Linked DNA regions of Anolis sagrei. The protein of the gene in region 1 interacts with the protein of each later gene in a biochemical or structural test. Links are inferred from orthologs where the notes say so. Each region holds a gene or a part of one and is shown in the gene's direction. Other genes may lie near its edges.

What was found.
Region 2: the proteins of NUP85 (region 1) and NUP43 form a complex in vitro, tested with the Homo sapiens proteins (2 studies listed by BioGRID). The link is inferred for Anolis sagrei from reciprocal best matches to the Homo sapiens genes NUP85 and NUP43.

What each region holds. Positions count from the first base shown.
Region 1 is NC_090022.1:117,258,884-117,268,267, forward strand, and holds the start of NUP85 (nuclear pore complex protein Nup85), read left to right. Parts: upstream 1-5,494; 5' UTR 5,495-5,589; coding exon 5,590-5,622; intron 5,623-7,356; coding exon 7,357-7,450; intron 7,451-9,384. UniProt on the Homo sapiens protein: Essential component of the nuclear pore complex (NPC) that seems to be required for NPC assembly and maintenance. As part of the NPC Nup107-160 subcomplex plays a role in RNA export and in tethering NUP96/Nup98 and NUP153 to the nucleus.
Region 2 is NC_090021.1:73,296,812-73,306,460, forward strand, and holds the start of NUP43 (nucleoporin Nup43), read left to right. Parts: upstream 1-5,035; 5' UTR 5,036-5,063; coding exon 5,064-5,183; intron 5,184-6,413; coding exon 6,414-6,536; intron 6,537-6,677; coding exon 6,678-6,755; intron 6,756-8,156; coding exon 8,157-8,325; intron 8,326-8,840; coding exon 8,841-8,976; intron 8,977-9,121; coding exon 9,122-9,273; intron 9,274-9,649. Other genes in the region: PCMT1 (protein-L-isoaspartate(D-aspartate) O-methyltransferase), read right to left, coding at 45-327. UniProt on the Homo sapiens protein: Component of the Nup107-160 subcomplex of the nuclear pore complex (NPC). The Nup107-160 subcomplex is required for the assembly of a functional NPC.

The sequences.
Region 1 (9,384 bases):
ATGAGGAGACAGAAAAGCCTAGAGAAGACAATTATGCTTGGGAAAGTGGAAGGCAAAAGGAAGAGGGGCCGACCAAGGGCAAGATGGATGGATGGCATCCTTGAAGTGACTGGACTGACCTTGAGGGAGCTGGGGGTGGTAACGGCCGACAGGGAGCTCTGGCGTGGGCTGGTCCATGAGGTCACGAAGAGTCGGAGACGACTGAACGAATGAACAACAACAACAACTGGAAGCTCAGAGAAGCCCAGCAGCACCTACTAGCATCCAGGATACTTTTAAATCCATTTCTCCCTTTTCTGAATAATTATATTGTCTTTAACCCCCAATAAACTGTGTTATCCTTAACTTCTGCCTCTATGTATCTCCTTTTGCCTCTCTGAGTGCATTTTATTTATATGTTATTGTGAAACAAAGTTGTTTCTTGTCTTGATCTTCCCAAAAATAAAAGGAGATAGATAGATAGATAGATAGATAGATAGATAGATAGATAGATGAAAACTTTGGAGACTGAAGCCACTCAGCATGACCTTGGTGACCTTTCATCAGCACCTCTTGACCTGGGAACTCTTTCTAGCCATTTTTTCCAGTCATCACCTAAGACAATGGACTCAATCACCCATCATCTATGACCCATACCACTGGCTGTGCAAAGATAACAGGCTTCGGAGATGGACCACCTGTTTATTGTACAACCACATGGACATTTCAAAAGACACTAATCACCTGGCATGGCAGCTCCCGATGGGGAGAGAATCATGCCCTGTTTTCCACAATGACATCGCCCCTTTCTCAGGAATGGGTTCATAATCCTATTATCATGAACAATATTTGCTGTTTGGAAATATAAAGGACACTGGTGCAGAGTCATCAGCCCGTGAGGTCGGGGTTCATAAAAACAATCACCAAGACAATAAAACTCATGGGACCCAAGCGCCCACATTGTTTGTCCCTGATGTTGGGACAAGGTAATCCAATCATAAAACTATATCTTCCTTTTTTGGAGTTTCCCCTGCCAACAATTGGAGAGTGCTCCAGCTGCATTGGAAGCAGGGAATACTCTTCCATTGGCCAGTGGATGCCACAGTCCAACCTCTGCAGGGAATCCTCCCTGGTGTCATCAGAGCTCAGTCAATTATGGTGGTGCTGGCCCATCTGGGGCAGGTGCAGGAATTTCAAAACACTGTATTGTATAAAAAAGTCTGCTGTTCACCGTAATGGTGTCTCAGCTTACTTTGGCAGATAACCACAAGTTGGCATCACTTTCAGCTGATTGAATAAAATACCTCAGTGGCTTCTTCAACTTGGTGAGCTTTCTTCAGGAACGTTGAGCTTCACTTGCCAGGCACACAGACTAACAGGGCAACCTGCAGCAGGTACCAGTATCCACTTATTAGGACTCCACATTTCAGTTATCCACATTTCAGGTTTTGCTATCAGCTATCTCACTATTCGCAGCCATTCTAAATTGCTCTAGTTCAGTGACACCACCAAGCTTCAGCTCCCAAGATTGATTCTACAGTATTGAGCCATGGCAAAGTGGGGTCAAACTGCATTAATTCTACAGAGTAGACGCACCCTGGGTGTGAGAAGGGCAACTGTGAGAAAACTAGACAAGATTGTGAAGTGTAAAGGTGTATAATTTAATTGTTTTAAACATCTAGGGAAACGTGTCAAATTATTAATGGACTATGTCTGATTTTTCCAATGACAAATGTCTTGACTAATTCAGATTATGACTCAGAGACCAGAATTCCAGGAAGTAGGAGACACTTGATCAAAATGGGGCCTATAAATACACCAATCTCTACCTGAATTATTTTATCAACAAGCAGTTAAAGTGAACTTAAAGTGCAGTGATGTACTGCATTGTTCACCAAGACCACAGTGCATTAAATTAATCTTATGACTTTCATCAACCATGTATGAAATATCTTAGGGAGATTACAAGCAATCCTGTTAGAAAGCTGTCTAAACTAATATCACAGGCTCATAAGCTAATTATATATGAATTAACTCTCAGACCTCCACCTACTGCTAATCAGCATTGATGAATGGCTGAAGTTCTAGCATGTTGAAAAGAAGTACATTATAATTAACTTTATTGTAAAGCAGGGATATGGAACTTCTGATTTGCCAGCCTCTATGAGCCTTATTTCACAGGGTGCACATACTGTAAAAATAATGTAGTTTGACATCACTTTCACTGCCAAGACTGAAAGCTATAGAACAATGGAAGTTGTAGTTGGGTGAGATCCCCAGCACTCTTTGGCATAATAATAATATTATTATTAATAATAATAATAATAATAATAATAATATATTTATAACCTGCCCTCTCTCCCTGAAGGGACTCAGGGCAGTTTACAGAGAAGGCTAAAGACCTTGTAAAACTACAATTCTGATTATTCTATAACACTGAGCCATGGCAGTTAAAGTGGTGACAAACTGCATTATTTCTGCAGTGTTGATGTGCCCACAACGTGTTCTCTTTCCTCTAATGCTGTGTAGGCATTTGATTAGCTATAAGAATTGTGTCTCATCAGCACTGAAGTAGGACAATCTTATTCAATCTAATGCAAGAAACTATCTTCTATTAATGAAGACAAAAGGCATTTAAAGTTGTCACTTTTCTTGCATTGCTTTCATACAATGGTTGAATCTCTCTCTCTCTCTCTCTCTCTCTCTTGGTAACTAGTGTGTTAAAATCCAGTAAAAGGAGGATTCCCTATTGATGTTTGTGTTATGCATGGGAGGCTTAGGGGCAGCCAAACACACCCCGAAATAATTGCATCACCTGACAGGACACATTTTATGATGTATCGTATTTTCCAACATATAAGACGACTGGGCATATAAGACGACCCCCAACTTTTCCAGTTAAAATATAGAGTTTGGGATATACTCACTGTATAAGACTACCTGTCTTCCAATGCACACCAAATAAAAATTTAAAAATCAGATTCAATTTCAATATGGTAATTTTCCTATTACTGTATCTCCTTCTCTGCCTCTCAGATCTTGCACATGCGCACTTCACTGCAGTCTTCAGGAGCGAGATCTGAGAGGCAGAGGACTGGTACGATAATAGGATACAAGGGCGAGCCAGACAGGTAAAAGAGTTGTGTTTTTCTGGGCCCAGAGCCACTCTATCACTTTTTTCCATACCCCGGGCACCCTGGACGCCTGCAGCTTGCTCTGCCCTTCACTTACATCTTCCCGGTGAGGTGCCCCTTCACCTCACCATTGGGACCACATTAAGTCCACGAATCCTGATGAATGTATTTTCTTCTACTGTACTTGTACAGCGTCGCCCTTAATGCGTTCATACAGTCGCTGCATAAGACAGGGACGCAGCTACTGCCATTTTTGAGCCCCCCCCCCCCCCCCATATGCGGCAACCACAGATTCTCCAATCTGGATTGGAAGTTTCAGCACCCGCTCTATAAGATGACTCCCGGTGTATAAGATGACCCCTGACTTTTTGAGAAGTTTTTTTGGATTTAAAAGGAGTCTTATACACCAGAAAATACGGTAGTTGAAATATTCCACCTCTTTATTTAATTTTAACTCTGTAGTGTGATAAACTGACACAGCTATGAGATGGAGGATGAGGGCATTGTTCCTCCAAATGTTTCAGCCTCAATAAAATGTTCCTTCCTTTCCAAAAATTCTAGTAGGTAAATCTAGAACACCTAGAATTCTTAAATGTACTGAGTTAACAATAACGACAATATTTATACACCCATCAGTGAATTTACTGAGTTTGCATTATCTTTTCCTTTAATGCTTTAAAATCTACGGTATTTCTGAATGGTTGACTTAAGTTTTAAGTTACTACAAAAACAGAAAAAATAATTTAGGATATGGTTTCTAATGAGGGAGGCAACTGGACTCTGATCATGCAGACCGGAGGAGTTTTATTAGCAACCGCCTGTAGCAAAATCCTCTTCCTGTGAGATTTTGCCTTATGAAGATTTTGCCTTTTAAATCCAAAAAAACTTCAGATACTTATTATATTTACTTTGTGTTGTCAAAGGCTTTAATGGTCAGAATCACTGGGTTGCTGTGAGTTTTCCGGGCTGTATGCCCATGTTCCAGAAGCATTCCCTTCTGAAATTTTGCCCACGTCTATGGCAGGCATCCTCAGCGGCTATGACGTCTATTGGAAATTAGGCAAGTGAGGTTTATATATCTGTGGAGTGTCCAGGGTGGGAGAAAGAACTCTTGTCTGTTTGAGGCCAGTGTGAATGCTGCAATTGGCCACCTTAATTATTTAATGGCCCTGCAGCTTCAAAGCTTAGCTGGTTGCTGCCTGGGGGATCCTATCTTGGGAGGTATTAGCTGGCCCTGATTCATTCTTGCCCGGAATTCCCGTTTTTGTTTGTTTGTTTGTTTTTAGTGTTGCTCTGTGTAGTATGACATGGATCAGGACAATAAATAAAAAGCAACACTAAAAAAAAAAAAAAAACCAGGGGAATTTCAGGCAAGAATGAATCAGGGCCAGCTAATACCTCCCAACAAAGGATCCCCCAGGCAGCAACCAGCCAAGCTTTGAAGCTGCAAGGCCATGAAATGATAATTTAATGGCCTTGCAGCCACTGAAATCCACAAGCATGTGGATAATAGCCACGAAAATGAACAAGATCTGGCCACCAGTATTAAAAAAACTCTGAAATCAGGAAAGTAAGTAAACATCAGACAGAATCTGCTGCCTTTACGATATTCAGTGTGTTCAGCCGTCTTGACTTCTGGAGAGAGTTCAGACTTGATTTGCCCATGTAATCGGCTTTTTGGCAACTCATGGCATGCGTAGAATTCAGTGGCTGCAAGAACAATGATAATTTAATGGCCTTGCAGCTTCAAAGCTTGGCTGGTTGCTGCCTGGGGACCCTCTAGTCCAGTGGTTCTCAACCTGTGGGTCCCCAGGTGTTTTGGCCTTCAACTCCCTGAAATCCTAACAGGTGATAAATTGACTGGGATTTCTGGGAGTTGCAGGCCAAAACACCTGGGGACCTACAGGTTGAGAACCACTGCTCTAGAGATACAGATGGACCGATCTTGAAATGAGCATTACATGCAGCTTTCTGAATAAAAGGTGGGGGTCCTTTTATTTTGTCGACTAGCCGAGTGCCTGATTCTAAGGAACTGCATGTATCGAACCGAAGCTATTTTAGAAGGGACCGTGCCGGTTCCCCTTCTCCTGTTTTTCACGGTATGAGGAGAAAATTAGCCTTGGGAACTTCGTTTCAAGAATCTGAGAAGTATAATTCTAACAGGCAATTTGGAAGACAGCCTCAACGGCGGGGAAAGAAAGGGTCCATATCTATACGGTCACACCTTCCCGAGGAAGAAAGAAGGGGAATATCAAAGGAATAGTGTGAATAGGTCTATATTTTTTCCTACCTCTCTGGGCAGGAACGGGGAGAGGGAAGAATGCGCTTGCGCGGCGGAGAACGTCCTTACGTCAATGTGCGCGCGGCTGACCGAGAAGGACGGCGATTGGCTGGCTGCTTTCCAAGCCTCCTCGCGAGAGGGAGGAAGGCTTGAGCGGCGGAGAAGCGCGAAGGCAGGCGGCCGGGAAGGAGAGCGATGGAGGAGGTGGACGAGGAGCCCACGGTCACGGTGCGGAGCGGGGCCTGCGGGATAAGTGCATGCAGTGGGACACCACTTTAACGGGCGTGTCACTGCTGTGGAATCCTGGGAAGTGTCTTTTCTTAGGGTCTTTAGCCGCCTCTGCCGAACAGTGCTGGGGCCTCCCCAAACTACAAATCCCAGGGTTGCCATAGCACTGAGCCATGGCAGTTGAAGTCATGTCAAACTGCATTAAATTCTGTGGTATAGATCCCCTTTGAGACAGAGTTTTTAAGGAAACTTCTGGGCTGAAAATGATGATAACAATAATAATACTAATAGTTGAAGTAACAATGAATTGATAGGAATGTTTCATGCTGACTCAAGGGATGAAATGAGGACAAAACCAAGGTACTCCCAACTTTGGAATATCCTTCTAAACCCTGACAATTGGGAAAAGGAATCAAAGGATCACTCACACAACAAGCAAGTAAGCACTCATGAAATGTGGCAGGCAATTATGATGCATTGGAAATTTCATGGTAAGGTAAAGGTAAAAGTTTTCCCCTGACATAAAGCCTAGTCGTGCTCATCTCCATTTCTAAACCAAAGAGCAGGCGTTGTCCATAGATGCCTCCAAGGTCAGCATGACTGCATGAAGCGCCATTACCTTCCTGTCGAAGCAGTACCTATTGATCTACTAATATTTGCATGTTTTCAGACTGCTAGGTTGGCAGAAGCTGGGCTTAAACGTGGGAGCTCACCCCGCTCCCTGGATTTGAAACGCCAACCTTTTGGTCAGCAAGTTCAGCTGCTCAGTGGCTTAACCTGCTGTGCCACCAAGGGGCCCTTTCACAGTAACAACAGAAGAAATAATGGATGCATCTACACTGTAGAGTTCAGGCAGTTTGACACCACTTTGACTGCCAAGGCTCAATGCTGTGGGATCCTGGGAATTGTAGTTTGCTGATGCACCAGTCCTCTTTGGCAGAGAAGGCTGGAGGCCTTGTAAAGCTACAACTCCCAGGACTCCCTGGCATTGAGCCAGAGCAGTTATAGTGCTGTCAAACAACATCAGTACTATGATGGACACAGTTTAATATAATCATAGAAAGATAGAGTTGGAAGAGACCGCATGGGCCATCTAGTCCACCCCCTCCCATGTAGGAAAAGCACAATCAAAATATCCCTGACAAATAGCCACCAAAAAGGAGCTTCCACCATACCCCAAGGCAGATAGTGAATGACAGGAAAATAATTTTATGTTGGGATATTATTTATTTATTTATTTATTTACTGCATTTGTTGACCGCCGTTCTCAGCCCTAGGGCGACTCACGGCGGTGTACAACATATAGAAACAGTTTACAATAAGGGATATAAATGTTTCCCTTCATAAATTAAGTTAGTTTAATTCAGACCTGTGTGTGCTTGTGCCAGCTAGCCTTGTAAATGTCTGCATCTACAGTAGTGGGAAACTATTGGAGCCATTAGCCTTCCAGGAGGCTTCCTCCTTCAACAACAACAACCACCATCATCATGAAGAAGCTGGGGCTTACAGTGGGAGCTTACCCCACTCCCCAGATTCGAACCTGCAACCTTTCGGTCAGCAAGTTCAGCCACTCAGTTGTTTAACCCGCTGTGCCACCACAGTACTTCCCTCTTTTCTGATTTTGTTTCCACCATGTATGTATTTCCAGTACTTTTGAAAAGTATATTTTTGTATGTAAATATCCTATGTCACTATGTTTCCCTGTGCTATCCTCTCATTTTCTTTGAAAAACAGCTGATTCCTGGAGTAAACTCAGACAAGAAACAGTTATGCTTTTCGTGGGGACCTGGGGAGATGCTGGTGTGTGAAACCTTGTTTAGATCTGCAGGTTGGCATTATGTTACTATCTTACAAGCTTTTGTTGTGTTTTACAAATTCATGATAGCAAATACATTGCAATGGTGAGCTGTATTTTCTTTTTTGCTTGCAATAAGATTTGATGGGCTTTCTGGTTCAAAGGGATATCTAGGTCCCTTTCACACAGCCATATAACCCCGAATATAAAGGCAGATAATCCACAATATCTGCTTTGAACTGGGTTATCTGAGCCCACACTGCCATATAATCCAGTTCAATGTAGATTTTATACAGCTGTGTGGAAGGGGCCCTAGTCTCTGAAACTAGATAGGCTCAATATGATCCATACCTGGATGGGAAACTTTTTGGGACATCACTCACAATGCAACTGGAGATATACCGTATAAGCTTTCTTCAGTAGATGAATAATTGTATGAAGAACTCCATTAACGATCCTCAAGAGCTGCTTTTGTAGAGTTCCCAAACAGAACTTCACAAAATATCCATTGAAATTAAGTCCTTTAAGTATTTTGGTTCCAAGTTGTTTTCTTATGACTTAAACAAAAACATCAAACTCTTGAATTTGACCAAGTTGCACATTAGCAACCAGTATGAATCCTTGAGTGCATCCCTTGTGTCCAGTTGATCACCCTTTCTTGTCAGTCAGTGAGCAGCTGCATTCTGCACCAGCTGCAACGTCTGAAGCATTTTGAATGGTTGACTTACATAGGAGGCATTGCAGTAATCTGATTTGCGGTTACCAGTTTCTGAACCACCATGATCAGGTTGAATTATCTGAAGCTCCTAATTACTGAGCTCAGTGGGGATTCAAACAATTTCAGTGAATGCAGGCACACACCCCTGAGTATAGGTATGGGAACCACTCATCACAGCACCTCCATCTTGTCTGAATACAAGGCAAAACAATGTTATTGCTTTATTAAGTTTATCTCTTTTTTAAATAGATGTTTTTATTGCAGACACAGGTAGAATGATATCACAATTCATCACCATTTCCGAATATATATCAAATATTGTTTTCATAGTGTTCTTATTCTTATCTATTCCACCTTTATCTCCCACTTGTTTCTATTGATTTTACACCCCTCTACTACTCCCCCCACCCCCTGGGAACAGTACTTGTATTCATTCAAATATTATTTTAATTGAACAATCGTGGAAAGAGAATGGTTCAGCTCTTTATATCTTTCTTTTCCTTTGACCTTTTCTATCAGTCTTCCCCATTTCTGAACCCAGGTCTTTTTGATTCGGCATGATGTATCTTTGGCTCTTCTTTCAGAGATGTAGTCCTGAAGCATAAAATCTAGGTAACCATACCATTTTTAACTTCCCACTTTCTATGTTCTTTCCACCCCAAGGCCACAGTTGCTTGGGTGGCAACTATCATATATTTTATAATTTCCCCCCAAGCTTTGATGTTTTTGTTCTTGTCTGATATCTGGGTGAAACATTCTTTTTTTATTCAAAACCAATTTATGCCCTATTAATTCTTCCATTTCCTTCTTTACCTTATTATAAAAATCTTGTACTTTGTCGCATTCCCACCACATATGTATATAGGAGCCAATTTTTCGACATCTGTGCCAACACAATTTTGCGGTTATTTTAGTTATGTGAGCTAGTTTAATTGGGGTTCTATACTATTTAGTTAGTATTTTCCTTTGTGTTTCTCTAATCTTTATATACTTGATATTTTTGATTGATTTGATCCAGTGTTCAGTGTCTGAATCATTGTTATTTATATCCTCTTTCCATATTTCTACCAATGCTTGTTTCAAATTATATTGAATTCCAACTAATTTTTTGTATATGGACCCCTCCAGGCCTTTCTCCTTTTCTAGTTTCCACTTTAAAATTCGATCAAAATCTGTGTCTGGGCTTTCCTTTTTCCTCCACTTCATGATCCTTTGTTCCAATCCATTCCAAAGGAGCCAGTTACATTGA
Region 2 (9,649 bases), on another chromosome or scaffold:
CCGGGCGCGCGCGCACTCGCTCGCTCGCTCGCTCGCTCACTCACTGCGGAGGTTGTGGATGAGCTCGGAGTGGCTGGCGCCTCCTGACTTCCAGGCCATGGCGAGGCAGATTCTGCGGAGCAGGTAGAGAGCCGCCTTCAGCGCCGCGACTGCGCACAGGAGCTTGCCCAGGAAGGACACAACCTCCAGCGCCGAGACAGGCGCCGCCTCCTCCTCCTCCGCCGCCGCCCTCCCTCCCCTCCTCGCCGCCGCTGTTGCTGCTGCTGCTACCGCCGCGCGCCCGCCGGAGGGAAGGGCCGTTCCCTCGCCCCCCCGCGCGCGCCACATTCTCAACGGCCCTCGCGACGGGCACCCGCCGCCCCCGCCGCTGCCGCCGGTGTGCGCAGGCGCAGAGGGGAGCGCCAAAGGAGCTGGCGGGGAAACACAGCGCGGGGGGCGCCTTCGCAGACCACATGAGGGAGATGAAGGAGCTGAAGTGAAGGAGGGAGAGTCTTTGAAGGGGGCTCTTGATCCCTAACTAAATATAGGTGCCCCCCCCCCCAAATAATGTGTGCCCTTAGTAGAGTCTTATTGTTGTGTTTTAGTAGGATTTGTGTGTTTGATGCTGCTTTTATTTTAATCTGTCTGAATGATTAACTTCTTGGCAATGGAATGTTTTGCCTTATATGTTGGAACCCGCCTTGAGTCCCTTTGGGGAGATAGGGCGGTATACAAACGAAGTTAAATCTGATTTGGCCATGGTGGTCCATGTCCCAGGCACCTCTAGATTGGATTACTGCAACACGCTCTACGTGGGGTTGCCCTTGAAGACGGCCCGGAAGCTACAGTTGGTCCAAAGATCTGCGGCCATACTACTTATAGGAGCTGGTTACAGGGAGCAATCCACCCCCCTGTTTAAACAGCTCCACTGGCTTCCAATAAGTTTCCGGTCCCAATTCAAGGTGCAGGTTATTACCTATAAAGCCCTAAACCAGTGCTTCTCAACCTTGGGTCCCCAGATGTTTTTGGCCTACAACTCCCAGAAATCCCAGCCAGTTCACCAGCTGTTAGGATTTCTGGGAATTGTAGGCCAAAAACATCTGGGGACGCCAGGTTGAGAAACACGGCCCTAAACGGTTCGGGACCTGCTTATCTCCACGATTGCATCTTCCTCTATGAACCAGCGCGCACCTTGACATCATCCAGGGAGGCACTACTCTCTCTCCCTCTGCTGTCTCAAACACAGTTGGTGGGGACGAGGGAGAGGGCCTTCTCGATGGTGACTCCCAGACCCTGGAACTCCCTCCCTAGGGAGATCAGACAGGCTCCTACTTTGTCCTCTTTCCAGACACAACTAAAAACCTGGGTGTTCCGGTGTGCTTTTGATTAGGCAGTCCACCAGTAATTTTCCCTGTCCCTACGTTAAGTTCAGCACTTTACACCTGCCCTTTTAGCAGCCTACCTCAACACTTTTGATGCCACTATTCCCAGCCCTGTCTACTTGATTGTTGCACTTGATAATAAATGAAATGAAAACCCTTGTTGTTTTCAATTGTGATTGTTTTCATATGTTATCTTATGTTTTTAATTGATTGTGTTTTATTTGTAATTGTTGGGCTTGTCCCTTGTAAGCCACCCTAAGTCCCCACAGGGAGATGGTTGGCGGGGTATAAAAATAAAGTTGTTGTTGTTGTTATGCCATATAATGTAGTTTCAGAATGCAGATTATTTGCACCGAACTGGATTATATGAGTCTACGCTGCCATGTAATCCAGTTCAATGCAGTTGATCTGCATTCTGAAACAGTATTACAATAGAGTCTTGCTTTTTATTTATTTATTTACTACATGTATACCCTGCCCCGAAGGGGACTCAGAGTGGCTTACAAGTTATTTGTACATACAATATATTATATTATTAGCATAGCACAAAATTAGCATTATATATTACTATATTGTACTATACCACCATACTGTAATATTTGATGCAATATATATCATTATTATATTGTATTGTTATTAGTAGTAGTGTTATATTGCATTACATTATAATATTAATATTATATGTGTATACAATATATTATTAGCATAGCACAAAATTAGCATTATATATTACTATATTGTACTATACCACTATACTGTAATATTACATGTAATATAAACAGGTCAGTGGAATGTTGGATAAGCAAAAATGTTGGATAATAAAGAAGGATTAAGGAAAAGCTTATTAAATGTCAAATTATGTTATGATTTTCCAAGTTAAGTACCAAAACACCATGTTTTACAACAAATCGACAGAAAAAGCAGTTCAATACACGCTAACGTTATGTTTTAATTACTGTATTTACGAATTTAGCACCAAAACATCGCAATGTATTGAAACAGCTGTGGATCCAGGCATTAGGCAGACTGCATTAGATAATACAGAGCGTTGGATGCGTGAAGGTTGGATAAGTGAGACTCTACTATAGTAGCTAAAGTGGTTATTTGAAGCTTAAACCCTGTATGTCCCAGATGTAGAGCCCACATATGCATTTGGCCTGTAGAGAAAAATATATATAACCATAACCTAAATTTTGAATTAAATTATAATTTTATGCAAGGGGTTCAAATGGTTGCCAACTTGCAGATCTCATTTTAAACATTATCCTGTATACCAACCATGGGCAAACTTTGGCCCTCCAGGTGTTTTGGGCTCCAATTCCCAAAAACCAATTCCCAAACACCGCATTGACATGGCACAACATAGGTAGTGTATTTGTGGTACTGGTGCTGGAGGAAAAATTCTGAGAGTGCCTTGGACCTCAAGATGATCAAAACAGTCCATACTGCTCTCTGGAGGGAAGGATATTAGAGGCAAAGATGAAGTATGCTACTTTGGCCACATAATGAGAAGACAGGAAAGATAATGATCCTGGAGAAAAATGAAAGAAAAAGGAAGAGGGGTCGATCAAAGGCAAGATGGATTGATGGTATCCTTGAAGTGACTGGCTTGACTCTGAAGGAGCTGGAGGTAGTGACGGCCGACAGGAAACTCTGGTGAGGCCTGGTCCATGAGGTCATGGAGAGTCAAATGATTGAACGAATAAACAACAACAAATTTGTGGTACTGCATAAAAGGCTGCTCCAAGTATCACTTGGGGAACTCGGGAAATGTGATTTATGTTTAGGAAACAAGTGCAACATATGTATGTATCTATGTATCTGTAGAGAACAACCTCTTCTCAAATGGAAACCTAACTTTGCATATACTGTACCATATTTACTTGAGTCTTAACACTCACCTTTTTGGGCTAAATTACCGTGCCAAAATTAGGGTGCACATACAATTCGCGTCATACAGTAATCTTAGTGACCCCAAAGGGAAACAGTGTTCAAGAGAGCAAACTTAAAGGCACCAGGAGGGTGAGGAGGGACAATGACAATGTGTTGTCGAAGGCTTTCATGGCAGGAATCATTGGGTTGCGGTGGGTTTTCCAGGCTGTATGGCCATGTTCAGGAAAGAACTCTCCCGATGACAAGAAATCTGCTTGTGTACACCTTGTTATATCCACATCAGCGCATTAGCACTCATAACTATTGGCAAAATGCTTATGAGGAGCAGCATATCTCAGAGAGTCATTAACAAAAAAAGGTGAAAGAACTTTTGGCAGCTCTCCTGTAGCTTTGGCGGTTCCCTTGCTTCCACGTTAGCCAAACCTTTCTGGGCACCACGAGACCATTTCCAAGGACTAATGACTTCATGTGTGGACTCTCTTTAAGGTAACCAGATTTTAATCCCACTTCCTAACTCTGGATTAAGTGGCTGTCTGGGGAAAAAAGAGAAACTTCTTAAAAATATGCTAGAAAAATGGGACAGCATAGAATTAAACGAGACCCTTCCTGCCAAATTGGGACAGATATGACTATGCCATAAAGGCCTTTGCCAGTCCCAAGAAGCTCCCATTCATCCCACTTGTTAGTCCATGGCCCTATCCACACTGCCATATAATCTAGTTTCAGAATGCAGATTAACTTCATTGAACTGGATTATATGGCAGCGTAGACTCCAGTTCGATGTGGTTCAATCTGCATTATAGGAGTGCACACTGACCATTATAATGCAGTTCAAACTGGGTTATATGGCAGTATAGATGGGGCCTCGTCCAAAAACAGACTTTATTTCTTGACTTGCTCATCTTCTCTATTACCTCCTTTGTGGCTCCTGCACCCCTCTCCTCTCTAATTTATTTCCCTTCTACATTTCACAGTCAGTATGCCATAGCATTGAGTCATTCATGACAGGTAAACTGCATGAAATCTGCAGTGTAGTTGCAGCCCTTGTCGTTTTGGTCTTTCCGAATAGACTTAATTGGTGAAAACACCAACAGAGTCTGGGTTGCTGTGAGTTTTCCAAGCTGTATGGCCATGTTCCAGAAGCATTCTCTCCTGAAGAAACCAGCATGGACACAGCATATTATTTGAGAACACAGAAATGCTGGACTACTAACATCTACCATGTTAGATTACACTGAGAAGCTACTGAAATCCACAAGCATGTGGACAATTTCAACAGAATGGAGGAAACCATGAAAATGAACAAAATCTGGCTACCACTATTTTAAAAAATCAGGACAGTGAATAAAAAGCAACATTCAAAAAACAGGGGAATTCCAGACAAGAATCAATCAGAGCCAACTAACACCTCCCAACAAAGGATCCCCAGGCAGCAACCAGACCGGCTTTGAAGCTGCAAGGCCATTAAATGCTAATCAAAGTGGCCAATTGCAACATTCACACTTGCCTCAAGCAGGCAAGAGTTCTTTCTCCCACCCTGGACATTAAAGTCAGGAGAGAATGCTTCTGGAACATATCCACACAGCCCGGAAAACTCACAGCAACCCATTGATTCCGACCATGAAAGCCTGCGACAACACAGCCAACAAAGTCCGTTCCAGCAGCCTTCCCAGTAGAGAGTATTGACCTTTGTGGGTTGCCGTCTCACGTGGTGCTCGCCGTCCAATAGGAAAGGGGCGCATGCAAGCCGGGGGGAGGGCCTCGGCTGCGGCGGGAAGGAAGGAAGGAGCTTGTCTCTGGCGGCGAAGCATGGAGGAGGTCTTGGCCCGATATGTCTCCCAGAAAGTCAGCAAGACCCGCTGGCGGCCCCTCCCTCCCGCTGCCCTCCAGCCCCCGGAGGTCTTCGCCACGGGATCCTGGGACAACGAGGTGAGGCCTGGGAGGTGGAGCTTGGCAAGGCCATGGGAGAGGTCGGGCCTTCACCGAACTACAACTCCCATGAATCCATAGCACCGAGACATGGCAATTAAAGTGGGCCAATGCATTAATTCTGTAATATAGAAGAGGCATAAGCAAACTTGGGCCCTCCAGGTGTTTTGGACTTCGACTCCCACAATTCCTCGCAGCCTCAGGCTGCGAGGAATTGTGGGAGTCGAAGTCCAAAACACCTGGAGAGCCCAAGTTTGCCCATGCCTGGTTTAGGCCATTCTAGTATAGTGTCTAGATCAGGCGTCCTCAAACTTTTTAAACAGAGGGCCAGGTGACAGTCCCTCAAACTGTTGGAGGGTCGGATTATAATTTGGGGGGAAAAACATGAATAAATTCCTATGCACACTTTGTAGTGCAAAAAACACTTTAAAACAATACAATACAATAATTAAAATGAAGAACAATTTTAACAAATATAAACTCATTAGTATTTCAATGGGAAGTTGTGAGCCTGCTTTTGGCTGATGTGATAGGGTTGTTGTTGTTGTTGTTGTTGTTGTTTGCTTTCAAGTAGTTTCAGACCCTGAGCGAGGGCCAGGTAAATCACCTTGGAGGGCTGTATCCGGCCCCTGGGCCTTAGTTTGAGGACCCCTGGTCTAGATCCAGGGAAGTCATGCTACCCCTCTATTCTGCCTTGGTATTCCATCTGGAATAGTGTGTCCAGAGGAGGGTGACTAAAATGATTAAGGGTCTGGAGAACAAACCCTTTGAGAAGCGGCTTAAAAAGCTGGGCATGTTTTGCATCCAGAAGAGAAGGATGAGATGAGACATGATGACCATGTATAAATATATGAGGGCAAGTCATAGGGAGGAGGGAGCAAGCTTGTTTTCTGCTGCCCTGGAGACTAGGACGCGGAACAATGGCTTCAAACTACAGGAAAGGAGATTTCACCTGAACATTAGAAAGAATTTCCTAACTGTAAGAGCTGTTCAGCAGTGGAACTCTCTGGCCCAGAGTGTGGTTGTGGCTCCTTCTTTGGGGGCTTTTAAACAGAGGCTGGGTGGGGGGAGAGGGTGCTTTGAATGTGATTTCCTGCTTCTTGGCAGGGGGTTGGACTGGATGTCCCACAAGATGTCTTCTAACTCTATGATTCATATGCAGTAACTTTTCCTTATCCTGGTTGTTTTTCTTTTTTGTTATTCTCTCTCTCTCTCTTGGTAATCTTATAGGAAAATAAGGTGTCTTTTTGGTCTGTTGGAGACTTGGGAAGTTTGAACACAAATGGAGAATATAACGCAGAACCGCATCTTTTGTGTGATATTCAACATAGTGGCGATGTTATGGATATGCAGGTAAAAGGCTATAAAATGACTTTAAAGCTTTCCAAGCACTGTGTTATTGATGTCACTAAAGTTACACAGTATAAATGGGACACTGGTTCTGTTTGATACTTTATTTCAATACAAATTCATATCTGAATATTTTGTCCTTAGTTTTTGGACCAGGAAAGAATTGTAGCTGCTTCATCCACTGGAAGTGTGACTGTTTTTCGGCACCATCAAAATAATCAGGTAAATTAATCAGGTTTGCTTACATCTATTCTGTTGTACAAAAAATTACCTTGCTCTCAAGAAAACACAAGGCAGAAAAAAGTTGGTTTGTGGGCAAGGTGATCAAGTAGGTCACAGCAAGATATTCTTATATTAAATGGCTTTTCCAGATCTATTTCAGTTGCTTAGTCTAGTGAATAAAACTGCTTCTATCTCTCCACCACCACAGGAGAGACAATAACAATGTGACTCCATTCATTTTTCTGGATCACTCAGCAGCTTTAATTGCCATTGGTGCTGTTATCTTTTTTTGAGAAGTTGTGTGTAGGAGATACAGATTTTCAATGGCTTTGCTTGTATTTAGATTGCTATTTTTTAAAGGTCATATTGAGGGATTTCTTGTCACTTGCATAGCATTTGTGCTTTGAGGTTCCTCTGGGCTACATTTTCTTTATTACACTGCATTACACAGGGAGCAGATAACACTGTCATATAAATTAGTTGATCTAGCCCAGTATTGTGAACACTAACTGGCAGCAACCCTGCAGGTGCGTATTTCTCCCAGCCCTATCTGGAAATACCTGTTGGCCTCTCTATTCAAGTGCTAATCATTCCTAACTATGCTAAGCTTCTGAGATTAGGCAACATTTGTGTGAAACTGTTGTGTGAGGTCATCTAGAGATTTAAAGTGATTTAAGGATGATGTCCAGCTCCATTTCCTTTTTCATCAGTGGATGTGTTTCATCAGTGGCTGGCTGCAGGGCTGAATTAGGGCCAGCACAGGTTGAACACCCCTTATCTGAAATTCTGAAATCCAGGATCTAAAATAATCTTTATCCATAGCTGAGATAGTGACACATTTGCTTTCTGATGGTTCAGTGTACATGCACTTTGTTTCATGCGCATCATTTAAAACATTTGTATATAGAATTACCTTCAGGCTGTGTGTATAAGATGTATGTATCACATAAGTAAAATTCATATTTAGGTTGGGGTTCCATCAAGATCTCATTACATATTTGCAAACAACAACAGATCTAAAACATTTTGAGTAAGGGATACTCAACCTATATTGAATTCAATCAAGATAAGTCTGAGGTACTACTTTGGGGCTGCTTGTTCAGGTTGCTCCTTTAAGTGATTATCCTGATAGTTTGTGGGGCTGTCTTTATAATTAGGAATACAAGTATCATTTGTACACAGGTCATCTTTTACTGCCTTTGTCTGAGATTCCAGCTACAAGGCACCCCAGGCCATTTTGGCAGCTCCCATGGGGTCCCACAGTCTCCTCTTCAAATTCAGGCAAGGAGGAAATACTGGTGTTCGTGACTCTCTTTCTCTCTCAGTGTCTCTCTCTTCTAAGTCTTGGTCATTACATTTTTTCCACATGCCCATTTTCATTGTTTTTCTTTGGTTTTTCAGACTCTATCTGTAAGCCAAAAATGGGAAAATGCACATTTCTATGACCCATCTCATGGAAATGCACCCTGCACCGGGATTGTCTGCAACAGCCCTGAAATTTTTACAGTTGGTGAAGATGGGAGGATAAATGTATTCACAGTGGACCGGAAGGAAGCTGTGCGTACTGTAGGTAGGCAGTTAAGATGCCTGTACTAAAGTTCTAAACTATTATTCCAACATAGTGTTGTAGCCTTCAGTGCAGAACCCCTTAAATGCAGGAAAAATAAAATCATTTGTCTTTACCTGGGAAGTTATTGTAGCATGCCTGAAGTATCAATATTTTAAAGTGAATTTATATGACACCAGTAATATGAAAAACACTTTTTTGAACATGGTGGATCAGGTCTCCTGCCCTATCTCTTTGCTGAAGTACAGAAAGTTCTTTGCTAGATATCTGTAAACCGTATCCAGTTAGAGTTCCTTAGAGAATGCTATCAGTTCCCAAAGTTGTAAACAGTATTATCTAATAGGTAAATCAACATCAGCATTCCCCTTAAGAGTCTCTTAAGCTTTGGACTCTGAATTTTCAAAATGTATATGGCACATAGTTGGCATAACCTTACAGTTGCTTATTTGTTTACTGCACTAATTCTAGCATGCTTTAAATCAAAAGGACTGATATGAGTGTCTCTTTTAATTTCTCAGACAATGCTGACAGCAGCACACTTCATGCAGTGACTCGACTTCGCACAACAGAAATCTTGACAGTGAATTCCATTGGTCAGCTAAAAATATGGGATTTCAGACAGCAAGGAAATGAGCCTTCACAAATATTTTCATTGTAAGCACTTCATTCTGAGCTTATGGGCACTGTCAGAGCCAAATGTCACACTGTAACTACGGTATGTGACATTTTATTCAGCTAGGACTCTGACTACTGTCTTTGTGGATTTTCCATCAAAGTATGTCTTGCTCTCTTCTTGCAGGACGGGGGAAAGGATTCCACTTCACTGTGTAGATAGGCACCCCAGCCAACAGCACATTGTAGCCACTGGTAGCCAAGATGGTATGTTGAGTATCTGGGATGTGAGACAAGGTGACATACCAGTTTCCTTGCTGAATGCTCACGAAGCAGAATGTAAGTAACTAAATAAACAGATTTCATGCTTGAATCTTTGATGACACTACCACTATGTGTAAAATGTTCCATATGTGTAAGAGAAATCCCCGTAGTGCTCAGTAAATCTCTTTTTCTTTATTATTTGGCATATACATGATTGGGCAGTCTGTACTTGCCTTTTATATTCCCATACCCAGCTAACTAGAAACTCTAAACAGCAAGTCAGACAAAGTGTCTGCCCTCAATTGACACTTTCTGTATCAATACATGTGTTGGTGGTACAGATGAAAACAAGTTAACAGTCTTAGAAACAGAGAATCACAAGACAATGGGCTAACTCAGGAATGTTGGATTTATGAAAGAAATAGAATAATACTTGGGGGCATTAGGGCTA